2 linked regions of the Coturnix japonica genome follow. The protein of the gene in region 2 purifies or fractionates together with the protein of the main gene of each other region. This does not show direct contact. Links are inferred from orthologs where the notes say so. Each region holds a gene or a part of one and is shown on either strand. Other genes may lie near its edges.

Evidence for each region.
Region 1: the proteins of BACH1 (region 2) and MAFG purify together in Homo sapiens (affinity purification with mass spectrometry; 5 studies listed by BioGRID and IntAct, counting the BioPlex papers as one, with this or other methods). This does not show direct contact. The link is inferred for Coturnix japonica from reciprocal best matches to the Homo sapiens genes BACH1 and MAFG.

What each region holds. Positions count from the first base shown.
Region 1 is NC_029533.1:4,418,430-4,426,040, forward strand, and holds the start of MAFG (transcription factor MafG), read left to right. Parts: upstream 1-2,565; 5' UTR 2,566-2,724; intron 2,725-2,933; exon of another isoform or gene 2,934-2,952; intron 2,953-4,326; exon of another isoform or gene 4,327-4,759; intron 4,760-4,784; exon of another isoform or gene 4,785-4,930; intron 4,931-4,955; exon of another isoform or gene 4,956-5,809; intron 5,810-5,955; 5' UTR 5,956-5,981; coding exon 5,982-6,017; intron 6,018-6,097; coding exon 6,098-6,550; 3' UTR 6,551-7,611. Other genes in the region: PYCR1 (pyrroline-5-carboxylate reductase 1, mitochondrial), read left to right, coding at 397-489, 633-796, 882-1,041. UniProt on the Homo sapiens protein: Since they lack a putative transactivation domain, the small Mafs behave as transcriptional repressors when they dimerize among themselves.
Region 2 is NC_029516.1:93,629,945-93,637,113, forward strand, and holds part of BACH1 (transcription regulator protein BACH1), read left to right. Parts: intron 1-66; 5' UTR 67-124; coding exon 125-364; intron 365-4,182; coding exon 4,183-5,565; intron 5,566-7,169. UniProt on the Homo sapiens protein: Transcriptional regulator that acts as a repressor or activator, depending on the context. Binds to NF-E2 DNA binding sites. Plays important roles in coordinating transcription activation and repression by MAFK.

The sequences.
Region 1 (7,611 bases), on a different chromosome or scaffold from region 2:
GGTTTTTTTATCTCATCACTGATGTTCTTGATGGAACATGTAATCCAGGTATCCAGTTTATGACCGCTGTGGGTCAACAACAAAAGCCTATTACCAGTTGGATGGGTCTGAAGTCCATAACCAATGTGCAGTGTCCACATCTGTGTTGCAAAATCTGGGCCTGTTGTTAGGATGACCTAGAAGCTGAATTTCTTCCATTCTCCCTACATCTCAGCTGGAGCTGGTGGGAGAGAAGCATGGCATGGCAGCAGTGCAGTAAAGGGGCTGACTTTTGTCAAGTCTTTGTAAGTGACAGGAGTCACAGTGTGATCCTAGAGCTGTGGATTCTGCCTTCTGTAAGAACACCGGTCTCAGAATAGAGACTTTCAGTCCCTTTTTTCCTCTGTCTGATCTCAGGCTTTCACTGCCCTGGATGCTCTGGCTGATGGAGGTGTGAAAATGGGGCTTCCCCGTAGGCTGGCTGTTCGGCTCGGAGCCCAGGCTTTGCTGGTTAGTATTGCTTCCTCCAAAATGCTCTTGAGACTCCTTCTAGTTTTATAGTCTTATAGTTTAAAATGATTTCAGTTCCCTTACTGAATATATTTCAACAAACATACAGAGTTCTGATTGTTGTTTTCTATTCCTCGCCACAGGGCGCTGCCAAAATGCTGTTGGAATCAGAGCAGCACCCAGGTCAGCTGAAGGACAACGTCTGCTCCCCTGGGGGAGCCACCATTCATGCCCTGCACTTCCTGGAGAGCGGAGGCTTTCGCTCCCTGCTCATCAATGCTGTGGAGGCTTCCTGTATCCGAACAAGGTGGGCACTGAGAAATCCTTAAGAGCCATCAACACTCCTCTCTTTCTATTCCTTACCATCTCTCTCTTCTACCACCCCATGGCAGGCAGCTGCAGCATTTGGCAGACAAGGAGAAGATCTCCCCAGCAGCCATAAAGAAGACTTTGTTGGATAAGGTGAAGCTGGAGTCTCCTTCTCTTTCTGTGGCATCTACCAACAAAGTCAGTCTGTTCAACAGTAAGAACCCCAGCAGCAAGAAGAACTGAGCAGGCTGCCGTCCTGCTGTACTCTGGCTGCACTGACCATCACTTCCCTTTATGCCCTTTCTTTTTTGACTAAGGAAAACATTCACGCTGAATGTTGGTGTTTTCCATACCCGACTCTCAGCTTACAGCAGCCGTGGGGCAGCGCAGAGCTGCTCACTGTGGGCATGGGGAGCACCATACTCAGAGCTTTGTCAAGGGCACTATTTGCCAGAAGCCTTTGATGCTTCAGAACTGAGGTAGCATTTATTGTGTCCCGTGTAGAAACAGTTGGTAGCAGAATCTTTAAGAACTTTCCAACTGCTTTTCAGTCTCAAAGGTTTGAGTCAGGTCTGGATCCCTCTTTCCCCATCTTCCATCTGCTTTCAGAGCTCATCTCTTGTTTTTTCTTAGCTAGAGCAGCTGCTGTCACACCAATGCAGTGCTGTGCGCTGAGGCTGGGTTCTAATATGCTTCTCACCAGGGACCAAAGTGCCTCTGCCTCATTTCCCATCCGCTTTGACTTTAAATAGAGGGTCAATGTGAACCCCTCAGCCACACTGATTCATTCAGGGTGCATTCTTGGCAGTCATCCCCACAACAGCAGCTTTCTATGGCTTCTTTATAGCCACCATCCCCATAGAGTTCCCTCTTCTTCCAGAGCCCTGTCCTGGACCAGGAAGCAGCACCCAATGTTCACACTGCCCCGGTAGCTGCTGCTGGGCTGCAGTGGGAGCTGTGGGCTGGGGAGGATGGAAGGGATTTGGGTGGATCTCAGTGTCGTCCTGTTCTACCTTGATGTACACTGAGGTTCCTCCTTAGGAACCCAGAGCGTCTATGTGTGTGGTGCAAGAAAAGCATTTGGGGATCAATGCAGAGAACTCCACAGGTGCTGGCAGTGTCAGTGCGGTGCTGTGTCAGTTGGTACTGGGACAAGGCCGTGTAGGTGTGACGTGGCTGCTGCTCTTTCTGCTCCTTGAATAAACCATTCCTCTATCGGACCCGTGGCGGCTCCTGGTTGTGTTGGGTGGACGCAGCTCCGTGTCCCCGCCGTCCCACAGCCCGGCACTGAGCGCTCACCCGGCCCAGCTCCATTGTCCCCTCAGTCCTGCAGTGGTTGGAGCTGCGGACGCCCCAGAGCCGTGTCTGTACAAATGAGAACTGACGGGGCCGAAGTGGGGCGGTAACAAAGGCCCGACGGCAGCGGAGCTCCCATTGCTGCCCATTACTATCCATTGCTATCCAATGCTGCCCATTACTATCCATTGCTGCCCATTACTATCCATTGCTGCCCATTGCTATCTATTACTGCCCATTGCTATCCATTGCTGCCCATTGCTATCTATTACTGCCCATTGCTATCCATTGCTGCCCATTGCTATCCATCGCGCTTTGCTCGGTGCTGCCGCCCTGCTGGGCTCACACCGCGGCCGTTCCCATCCCCGCGGTCCCTTTAAGTCCCGGTCCCGTTCCATTCCTGGTCCCGCCCCGTTTCCCGCCCTCCCGGCGCGTCCCCTTTAAGGCGCGGGGCGGTTGCGCCGGGCGCTTCATGAATGGAGCCACGTGACCCAAACATCACGTGACGCGTCCGTGAGCGGCGGCGGCTCGCGGTCCCGGTCCCGGTTCGTGCAGCGCGGCCTGCCCGCCCCGCCCCGCCCCGCCCGGTCCAACGGCTCCGTCAGGACGTGACCGCAGCGAGCGCGGCCGGTGAGGGGCGGGCGGCGGCGGCGGCACCGAAGGGAGGAGGCGCGGCGCGGGCGGCGGGCGCGGCCCTGGCACCGGGCGGGGCGAGGCGGGGCGGCGAGGCGCGGCGGCCGGTCCCCGGGGGCGGGGCGGGAGCGGCCGGCGCTGACTCACGGCGGGGGCTCCGTGGCCGCCGGTCACCGCCCGGTTGGCGGCGCGCACGGCCCGGTCCCCGCCGCGGCCGAGCAACAGGTGCGCGGGGCCCCGCCGCTCCGCCCGCCCCGCCCCGCACCGGGTCCGCCCGGCGCTCAGCCCCCGCTCGGTCACACGGTGTCCCGGTGCCCGGTGGAGCTGGCCAGGCCGGAGGCGCAGCGCGGCGCTTCCCGACGGTTCACCCGCCGCGGGGCTCGGGCCGCTCCGCTCCTCCCGGCATCGCCGTGGGGTCACCGGGATCCCGCGGGACGGGCGGCGGCGGAGCCGCTTTAACGGGGGAAAGTGCGGGGTGTGTGAGCGGCGGGACGGGCCGCGTGGGGTCAGGGGAACAAAATAACAACACGGATAAACGGGAACGGGATCCCGCACCGGGGGGGGAGGGGAAGGAGAGCTCCGCGCCACGGCGACGTCACCGTGTTTACAGTGCGCGCGTGGCGAGGCGCCGCGATGGGGAACGGGAGGGAACCGGGAGAGAACGGGGAGAGAACGGGGAAACGGCTCCGCGCCGGGGGGGAATTGGCTGCGGCCGTGCTGAGCTCAGGGCTTTTGAGCGCCGGGCAATGTGTTGAGGCGGCATTTTGTTGCTGCAGTCAAAGCGTTGGGCACTTTGCAGTGCGATCTGCGGGAGCCTCTAAAAAGCCGAGCAATGAACGGGCTGCACAGCCGGGATGAGGCTGGTTCGGTGTGTGCCCCCGGCTCAGCTGCTGCCCCCCTCACACATAACAGCCCCGTGCTGTCCGTGCTCTGCTGTGTCTCTGGAAGGGGATGGAGGGTCCAAACTGGTGCTGCGTTCAGGCACAGCCCCGTCCCAGAGCCGCCCCCAGCACACAACATGCACTGTCCAGTTCCTCGGATACAGACACTGCAGCCTCGTGTCCCACAGCAGCGATGCTGTGGCTCAGGATGGGGAGCACTCCCTGACCCCCATCACAGCTCTGTGTCCCTGCACTCATCCCAGCCGTGTCCCCCCATCAAGCTCCTCTCATTTCTGTTCTCTCTCAGCACAGCAGCCCTGGTTGACCCGTCCTTTAGTGCCTCTATCTGTGCGTTTATCAATTTCTCTCAGCAGAAATGACAGTATGAGGTGCAAGGTGAGCACAGGCTCTGAGCTCAGGGCTGTGTGAGTTTCCTGCCCTGCACCCTGAGCTGCTCTACCTGTGCCCAGCCCCATCCAGTGTTTGTTTTTCCCAGCTCTGCTACAATGAAGGAAGTTTGAGTGTTTCCCGGTAGCAGGGAACCATTCAGCCCTGCAGGCACACATTACTGCAGCCATACTGACCCCAGCGTGCGGTCAGAGGGTTCCTCAGGGCCGGTGTTATGCCTCCCCCCAGTTATTCTCTTCCATCTGCCCCTTTTTCCAGCAGCCATTTTGTTTGTTAGGGTGGGGGGGGGGGGGAGGAAACAGAGCAAAGAAAGAGAAATAACAGCACGGGAAAGCACAGAACTGGTTGCAGGAGGCTGCAGTCTGCATGTGCTCCCCTCAATGCAGCCGCCTCCCTCGGTGGCAAAGTGACCCTTACGGCCACGCTGTCGGGTTGTCACGGCCGTCATGCTGCAAGGAACATTGTCCTCTGGGTATAAATAGCTGCCTCCTGGCAGGCTCCGGCCTTGGGGGAACATCTGAATTGTGCTGGTGTGCTCCGTGTCCTGCAGGACGCTGATCCCGCTCACCTCTAGCAGTCAGCGCCGGGCGCATTGCGGGAGCCTGAGCTGCAGCTGCTGGAGGAGCAGAAAGCCGTATTTGCTGACTGTACAGCTGGGTCTTGGCTGCAGCTCTGCCTCTTACGTCTAGCAAACAAAAGAGCAGCGAACGGAATTGCTGTTGGCTGGCACGGAAGGTACAAAGGTACTCATGGACTGCACCTGCACACAGACAGTGCTGGCCTTGCTGCAGGAAGCAGTGCCGGGCTGTGTGGGACAGACGTGGCTGCTGAGGATTCAGTTTGTTGGGGTGCAGTGGAATTCTGACCCGAGGTGTGAGGGGAGGAGGTGCATAGGGACAGGAGCAGGAGCCCAGGTATGTCTCTGTATGAAGACAGCCCCAGGAGCTGCTGTTATAGACCTGGAATGCTGTCCTCCCTGGCAGTGAAGGAGTCTGCTCCCCTCTGGTTTTGGCCTCCCTCGATCTTTGTTTTCTTATCTCTCAGCTCTGAAGATAAAGAGGGGAGAAGCTGGTGCAGCCCTGGCTTTGCTGGGGCTGATAGGGACTGCTCAGTGGGAAGGGTGTACGGCTGTAGGTCGGCTTTGGGTGACAAGAGCAGGGAGGGCTGCTGAGGAATCCCCAGATCAACTATGGGCTTCCCGTGTGCCCCAGCATCAAGCCATGGGTTTGGGCTGCCCATCCTCCCCACGGGAAGGGTCAGGTGCAGAACTCAGACTGTAACCCAGCCGTGCTGGCTTTGCTGGGGAGCACCAGCATTTTGGATAGGAGCAGTGGTGTTCAGCACCAAGCAGCTGCACCGTGATGGTGAGGCCATCCCCTCCACTCACCAGCAGTGTTGTGCTCCTGGACTGTGCCAGGCTGTGTCCTCAGGAGCATCGTGGGTCTGGCAGGACTCGCTGTGGGCAGCTCTGTGCTGGGCAGCGGGTGCACAGCGTGGGGCTGTGCTGCTGTGCAATGCTCAGGGGCTGTGAGGATGCAGCTGGGAGCAGAGGCGCGGGCTGCTGCCGTGCTGAGTCAGCGTGACTGGCCCTGAGCAGGCGTGCTCCGGACCTGGCTGCTGCTGCCAGGCTATTTTTAATAATGTGGCTTCCGTGTATTCTGGCTCCTCCTAGTTTTTTAATTTTCTCCCCCCCACACCCCAAACAAAAAAGCAGCATTGCTACAAGGCTCCGTGGTCATAGGGCTGGGGGAGGGCAGCAGGTTGTGCTCAGGGATAGAATCTGTTGCTGTACTGTGAGTCCGATGCAGTCAGGCTGAGTGCTGCCTGGGGAGGGCAGTGGGAGTGCCCCAGTGCGGGGTGTTGCTGCGGGGCTCCGTGCGGCTGCTCTGGCCCTGCTGAGAACCAACCCAGGGACTAACCTGACCTCCTTCCCTTCCAGAGCCTGACTGACGTGGCTGCCGTGTTATGACGACCCCCAACAAAGGAAACAAGGCCTTGAAGGTAAAGCAGCAGGTGGAGGATGGGGGTGTGGGCGGCTGCTCGAGGCTTCAGACCGCACACACTGCCTTCTCTTCTCACAGGTGAAGCGGGAGCCAGGCGAGAATGGGACCAGCCTGACAGACGAGGAGCTGGTGACCATGTCCGTGCGGGAGCTGAACCAGCATCTGCGGGGCCTGTCCAAGGAGGAGATCATCCAGCTGAAGCAGCGTCGGCGCACGCTGAAGAACCGAGGCTACGCAGCCAGCTGCAGGGTCAAACGCGTTACCCAGAAGGAGGAACTGGAGAAGCAGAAGGCAGAGCTGCAGCAGGAGGTGGAGAAGTTGGCCTCTGAGAACGCCAGCATGAAAATGGAACTCGATGCTCTCCGTTCCAAATACGAGGCACTCCAGAACTTCGCCAGAACCGTGGCCCGGAGCCCCGTCACCCCTGTGCGGGGCCCTCTCACCTCCAGCATGGGGCCCCTCGTCCCTGGCAAGGTCGCTACCACTAGTGTCATCACAATAGTGAAATCCAAAACGGACGCCCGGTCTTAGTGAAGCGAGTGTTGCCTGAGCTTGTCTGTGCAGGGCAATTAGGCACAAAACCAGCCTGGAATCCCCAAAGCACAAACCCTCCCCACACGGGTCAGGGTTCCTTCTACTTGGCCCAGGACTGGCCTGCTGATCGCTCTGGTTTTGTTTTGTTGTGTTCAGATTGGTATGAGCAGTGGTGATGCATCCCTTGTCCTGTGCAGACAGCACCTCCCACCCAACGGTCTGTAGCCCTCAGCTGCCCTTGGGACAGGCTGTAAGATCTCGGTGTTCTAGCCAAAGGAAGTCTGCGCTGCGCAGCGAGCGGCCCGGAGGGAGGCTTTCTTCCTGGAACCCCAGTTTTCAGTCACTTCCAAAGGCTTTATTTCATTACTCTTCCAGGTGGTGTATCCAGGTGCCTGACTGCCCGGCACCTGAACCTGCTGCTTTTGTCTCATCCGGTACCTGTAGTTGCAGCTGGGGTGTTCTGTGTAATAGATGTGGTATTCATTTCTAGGTGCGCCTCTGTGCTCGAGCAGTGAGTTTCCTTCAGGCTTCCATGGCAGTAGAGTGCAGATAGCAGCGGGAGACGGGAAGATGCTGGTGCGCCCCACTGCCTCTGCCCCAGAGCAGGGCATGGGATGGGATGGGGTCTGTGTGGGGCCCAGCACCTTGGGGTTGGGGGGTCGGGGGGAGGGAGGTACCTTGCTGACTGCAGGCCGGTTTTGTGCCTAATGCGTTGCACTGAACAAGACCAAAATCACTAGTTGTTCCCGTGTTTTGAGGGTATCAAGTGTCTCTAGTGTGATGGTTTACACGACCAGTTTATGTGGTTAAATAGCCCTTTTATTTAAAGAGAAACATCGTTTTAAGAGTTATTAAATTATCTAAGTTTAAAATGAAAATCAAGACAGAAGAGAGAGCGTATTTATAGTCAGCTTTTTTTATCCGAGAGGGCGAGAATATTTGGCCATAGGAATGGGGAAATATTCTCGGAGACTTTGCTAGTTAAAAGTTAATAAAGAAATAATTTTAAAGTTTCTCATGAAACCTCCCGCAAACTGTTTGTGGCTCCGAGGTTAGTT
Region 2 (7,169 bases):
ATGCGAGTTTTTAGGTGTTATGGTCAAGTTGATTTTTATGTGTACAATTTGTTTTTCTCTCTCCAGACTGGAAGAATAGAAGCATGCTTTCCACTGAGACTTACACTAACATTTGTGATACAGAATGTCTCTAAGTGAGAAGAACAGCGTGGTTTTTGCGTATGAGTCTTCAGTGCACAGTACTAATGTACTTCTCAGTCTCGATGACCAGAGAAAGCAAGATATTCTTTGTGATGTTACTGTTTTAGTGGAAGACCAGCGATTTCGGGCTCACAAAGCTGTGCTTGCAGCTTGCAGCAGTTACTTCCTTTCAAGAATTGTGGGCCAATTGGATGCTGATCTTATCATTACTTTACCAGAAGAGGTGAGTGTTGTTTGCTTCTGTATTGTACCTACCCATGCTTTTGGTTTGTTTTGTTCAACTCTCAGCTCTGTTTTACAATTACCAATAGAGATTATCAATAAAGAGAAGAGAGTTAAGAACTGAGGGAAGGAAATTTCTAAGCTGTAAAGCTGCTGCTGGTTGAGATAAAGACTGAATAGACTAGAGTGAACATTGCAGACTGGAGATAGATAAATGCTCTCCTGGGGTATATGTAGGGTATATAAGTTCAATAATGTGTTTATTACTCTTAAATTAGTGCACTATATTCTAAGCATGTAAGTTTGTCAAAAAAAAAAAAAAGAAAAAAGAAAAAAGGAATATTTTGGGAATAATATGCAAATTAATGGTACTGTAATTTGCCCTTGAAATTAGCATTTTCAAGGTTTAGTTTAAGAATATCTGAGAATACAGCTGTGCTTGTATTCATTGCTTCCAGCTTCTTGTTGACTTTCTGTGCTTCAGTTCCCTATTCTTTTTGTACACTCATTGTTAGCAGCTTGATCTCCTTTTCTGCTATATTTATGCTTTAAAGCCAAGAACAATTGCTTGCTTTTTCACCTTAAATAAATATTTCTAAATCAGATTGAATTTAAAGGCATTTAGGGGGAATGAGCCGGAACCTGTCATGCATAGGAAAGCAATTTGGTTATCAGATATCTGAAGCATCTAAGACATTCAAAGATTCCAGTTGGTATTTAGTTGAAAGCATTTCAGATTCTTAAGTACCATCTGAAATCTTCAAGTGCCATGAGGCAAACAACTGTTTATATGAAACATTGTGCTTGTAAATGAAAAGTCAAAAGCCTTCAAGTACTCTATGCCCAGAAGCAGAAGTAAGCTGAAGAACTGGTACATGATCAGCGACTTTCTGGGAGGCTGTTTCTGGTAAACAGCTTGGGAAGGGAGTTAAAAATAACATGAAAATTGTTGGCAAGTCATCTAGAATCATTAAAGCCAGGAGGAAATGTGCGTGACAATGAATATCTGTAGTGACGTCACTTCAGCAACTTGTTTGTGTACAAGAGCAAGTTGAACACTACCTTAACATAATTATGTATTCAGAAAGCCTGTATCTTCCTAAAATAGCTCATTCACTAGCTCTATAATATATAAACACAAGGATTCTCTGTAACTGTAATATCTGATTACTGAAAACCAAAAATGATCACATCATCTCTTTTGATGTGTTTTGATGAATTTGCTACAAACTGATGTTACGCCATGATAACACTGTCAGCTTTATTCATTCTTCCTGTTGCCTCTGTATGTTCGTTTCTTCTTCCCTCTCTTCTCTATAGTGGCTTAGCATGTTAATAATGCAAATAGTATGAGTGAGATAAATCCTTTTAAGCCTGCAACTTCACAACATTGTCTAGTACTACTGATGTAAAAGCTGAATGTGCTGCAATAACAAGCAAAAATACCAGCAGAGCATCTTATCTTCTGATAATTTGATCTCATCACTTGGTAAAAAACACTTTGTGAAATTGGAGCTTGTCTTTTGGAAACTGCTAAATGTTTTGAAATGAGTCAGTTTATGAAACTGAGTACTTGAGAGGGACAAATAAATAAATACTAATTGGCTTGGCAATTTCTTAACCCTTTTGATCATCCAAAGTTTTTGAAGTTCAAAATAAAATATGCCGGTCCAAAACGTGAAATACTTGAATATTGACATTAACTTGTTTCATATAGATCATCAAAGCTAACCGGTGACACCTTGCTGTCAGTCGCTTCTATTGTCTTCCTACAGAAGTTACACTCTGAAATTAGACTGCCGTCAGCAATACAGATGAAACAAATAGCTTCTGCCAGACTTCTCTTCATTCAGACCAACAGTCTTTCCAGTGATAGATCATGTTTGAGGAAAGCTAGCTAGAAAATATGGGAGAAAATATGAGGAGCAAAGTGTTTTTTGTTCTGTAAATCTTTCAATTTATTTATTCTTTTTTAGCAAGGAGTGGTAAATGAAGTATGTACAATTTTGAAACATATTCGTTTGGTTTGGTTTCATGTATGAATGTAGTCTGTTTACAACCAATAAATCTTATTTATTTATAGTAGGTATAAATATACCTTGCAAGCACATAGATAAACTCTTTTCCTTTTCACTTTTTTTTTTTTTTTTTTTTTGAGGATGAATTAAGAATACTGACCAGATCACCATGTTGTCTTTAGGGTATATTTGAAACATTTTTAGAATTCTTTAGGTTTAAGAGTTTTCAGAATATTTTGCTAAGCTGTCTGCATAGATCACTTCAACTGCCTTTTATTTGGTATTTCCATGTTCTTTAGAAATAAAAAGCCCAGTGTGTGGGCTTGGGCTATAGTAGTAATAATAATGGACATACTCCATTTTATTTTTACTTGCTAAAGGAAGTAGCATGTAACTTTTAATATGACTGTGTTGCAGAAAGGAACCAGGTCGAGACTCGAACTCGTGGGTACTCCAGGGTTGATTTTATTAACAAGCTCAGTGCTCAGGTGAAACATGCATACAGAGCTTGGGTCACTCCTAGTGAATGACCCTTAAGCTTTACAAACGTCCTATATTTATATGATTAGGTAAACATTACATCATTTATGTTATTCATTTCTCGTGATTAATCAATACATCTTCAGTCCTTCTTTCTCGTGTTTCATCCTAGGCCCAGGCTTCATGCTTCACGTGTTACTCTTCTTTTGAACTTGTCCAAAAACTCATTATCTTCTTTCATCCGAGCCATCCGGGCTAGACCAGTCCATTCCATCTGTCTTATGGTTAAACTATACATTTTAACTGTTTAACTACTAAATAGCAATGTCAGCACTATTATTGTCTACCTCTGCTGTTTCATAACTTCACAATACTCTAACACCCCTACATGGGTCATGGTTCAGGGCTATACAGGGGATACATGAGTAGCATATTGGTTGAGAAATTTACCATTTTCCCTAACAACTGTCTGTTTACACCTTTCTACCTGCTTTCTTAGTAATTTTTTCAATGATAAGCAGGATTGTTTATCTTTGAATTCCCTTTTAGGTAACTGCTCTGTAGTAGAAGCTGAGTTGATAATGATGGAACTGTTCCAAAAGGCTTACCTTCTCCAAAGAGACTGTAACTGCTGTTGGCTTAGGGTTTTGGTTACTATTCTTTTTGTCCATGAGAGGAAGAAAGGCATAGATGGCTACAGTAGTAAATAATTGTGTGCGGTCAAACTCAATTACTTCAAAGTTCTTTATATCAGTGATGCATGAAACTGAGCAAATAGCAGTAATTGCTCTTTAAAGGAATGATTCATGCCAGCAGCGTTTTGATCTTTCTCAGGAATAACTCACGTGTAATTTTACTATGGAAATTATCTTTATAAAATTTGAGTCCCTCTCCTGGTTTTCAGATTACAGCAATAAATTTCACTTTTTAGTACTGTATTATGAGAGTTGTTTAAGAGGTTGATCACAGTGAAGAAAATAACTGCCATATAAAATATACAGGATATAATTATTTCTTATTTGCTTCACAATGTGTGTGGCCAGATTTCCTTTCTGAAGCAAAACTGCTGCTTGTCTCTCGTTCTTTGTCCTGATGGCATGACTTTCTGAATACAGGATGTGAGTTCTGGGTGTTTAAGCCCATGTACATGTTGGGACTGTAACTAGAAACTTGGCAACCTAACTACTACCCAGTGAAACAGAAGTGGATAAGTGGGGCCTTGTTCTTTTTTATGTGGTTTGCACTGGTAAATGGGAAGCAAGAGAGTTTCACCAAGCAGGAAGTTGGCCGTGCTAATTTTTTTCTTGTTTTTCTTCCATAGGTAACGCTTAAGGGATTTAGCCCCTTGCTTCAGTTTGCATACACAGCTAAACTTATTTTGAATAAAGACAACGTGTCTGAAGTTTGCAAGTGTGCTGAATTCTTGGGCGTACGGAACATTGAAGAGTCTTGCTTTCAATTTCTCAAATTCAAGTTTTTGGACTGTAAATCAGATCAAGAGTGGCCTAGGAAGAAATGCTGCACACAGCATTGTAGGAAAGTAAATCCTAAAATTAGCAACGTGGATGATGGAGACCTAGAAATAGACGATGAAGCGGAAGAACTTCTAGAAAAAGAATATATTCAAGCCTCTCATGCAAAGCTCTGTAAAGATGATGACAGTGCTAAAGCATCACCTGCCCTTCAAGATAATGCCAACCCAACCTCAGATCCTATGCATTTAGAAAAAGGTAATGTTTCCAGCTCATCTTCCCAGTGCCCCAAGTATAGGAAATTCCAGAAAGCTTTTGGAAATGACAAAGTTCATACTTCAGATTCCAGTTCCAGTACTAAAGATGTTCAGGTGCCACCAATTGTAACCTTTATCGAGAAGGAAATACCTGATAATGACAGCCCAACAAAAGCTCAGGAGTGCGTACCTATGCAGCTGGTCTCGAAGTGTGAGGAGACTCAGGTAAAAATGGAAGAAGGGGAGGAAGACATTGAGAAAAAAGAAGAATCAAAGAGAGATTCTGTGACTCAAGGCATCTCATGTCCTGTGGAGAAAATGGATGTTGCTGCTTTCCCCCAAAACACTGCTGCGCCTCATGGACTTAATTCTGTGTCTTTTTTACGTACTTGTGAGCAATATGGTAACTTCAGTAGCATGCAAAGCACCACAACCTTATCAGAAAAAACTGCAACAGGTACTGGAGCTGAAAGTGACAAATTTGAAAGTCATGACAATGCAACTTTAAAGGTTGATTTGTGTACTAGGGAAGCCATTAACGTTACATCAACTGGTGATCGAAGCAGTGTGGAGAGAGAGGTAGCAGAACATCTAGCAAAAGGGTTCTGGAGCGATATTTACAGTACAGAACGCTGTCAAATCCACTTACCTTCTGCAGTGCCAAAAGAACGCTTGGAGCCTACGTATTCAGCAAAGAAATCAGAGTGTCCGTGGCTGGGTATCAGAATCAGTGAAAGTCCTGAACCTTGCCCTCCGCGAACTTTTACAACGTTGAGTTCTGTCAACTGCCCCTTCATAAGCAATCTTAGTACTGAAGGATGCTCCAACAGCTCTGAAATAAGCAGTGGAGATTATGTTCAAGGGCAACAGCAAGAACAGTGTCCCTATAATTACGTGATAAGTTTGGGAGAGGATTCAGAAACTGATACTGAGGGTGACAGTGAATCCTGTTCAGCTAGAGAACAGGAATGTGAGGTAAGAACATTCTTGTTATCCTTTGCTTCCCTGTCTCTTAAGGCCCTTCTCAGAAATCTAGTTCTGCAATATAGTTTCATTACTTCTTGTTGTAAAACCTTGGAAAATGGAAGTTAAAGTAAACGTTTGAAGGCTTATGTGGGAGAAAACTGTTAAGTCAAGGAGACTTTAAATATTTGGAAGGACACTGAAGTGATAGATGCTTAGGTGTTAGATCTCTTCGGATATGTTTCTGGAATAACCTTATGATCAACTTTTGACTTTTAAATCAAGTACTGTAGAGGGTTTTTTTAGGTTTTTTCTCTTTTTTTTGTCTACTTCATTTAAAATTAATTCTAAAATTCATGGTGTGTTTTATAGAAACTTGATTATGGAAACATGTTCTTCTTCAGACTTGAGAAGGTGGGAGGGAAATAACACTTCGCATTACCTGCAAAAGGAGAAGACAAGTTTTAAAGCTGGCAACAGTAGTTGTGCATTTAAGAGTGTTTTAATAGCATCGCTTTCTCTGAAACTTAGGTTACATTTGTTCTCTCCAAATGCAGAAAATGTTTGGCACTTCTTTCCAATGTGTCATTGCTTTGGTAGGATTTTAGACAGATGCCCTAAGTAGTCAAATACCAAGTGGTTCTATTGCATATGTAAAATGACTTCAGTGGTAGTTACTAGGATTGTAGAATAGCAGGGTGCCTCATTTTGCTGTGGGACATTGAAGGGACTTTTGCCGTAAATGGAAGCAACAATTCCTGTAGCAGGTTGGCAGGTCAAATAAAGGGCTGGGATAGGCTTAAAAGCATTTCTCATCTCTACATTATGAAGAAGTAAATGGCATAGTGAAGGCAGTACTCTTCCCCTTGGGTTACATGGGATAGGCAAACACAAAAAGGATGTTTTTCTTTCCAAATCAATTTCAGATACTTGACTACAGTAATGGAATAAATTTTGCTTCTTAATTCATTCCAGTTTAGGGGTTGTAATAGTGTCTTTAACTGCATACTTAAGAATTCTTTATAGAGGTAAAGATGGTTTTCAGTATTTGTCAGAGCTGTATGATCTCTGTATGTTTCCGAAGCTCTTGCTTCTGTAGCTGAGGTGTATGTTGAGTAGCAGCAGCATTAAGGTGTATAAAACAAGCGTCAGCTACCTGTACCTTCCCTGTTTTTAAGTAGATGCCTATTTCAAATGAACTTTTCCTGCAGAAAATGTAAGGTATAAAAATTTATACAGAATACAGGCTTATCAAGTTAGAGGGAACTTCAGGGTGCAGTTGTGATTCTTGACCCCTATTTTATTTGCCTGCTAACAGTAACTTACTTGCCTAGAATGTATCACTAAAGTGATTCCCTGTACACAGGGATAGACTTCAGCCTACTTGAATAAGCTTTTGATGATGTAGTGTAAATGTTCAGGGTACTCTGTTACTTTGCTCATACTTGAGTTCATCTGCTTGAAGCCCCTATGATTTTATCTAGTTCCCCCAATGTCTCTTCTAGCTTGCTCTTGTTTCTGAGTTGTAGGGATAAGGTGTTGTGGTAAAGAACACTTAACATTTAAAACTTGAGATGATCTGTTGGAATATATGTTTATCAGTTTCACCTTTGGGC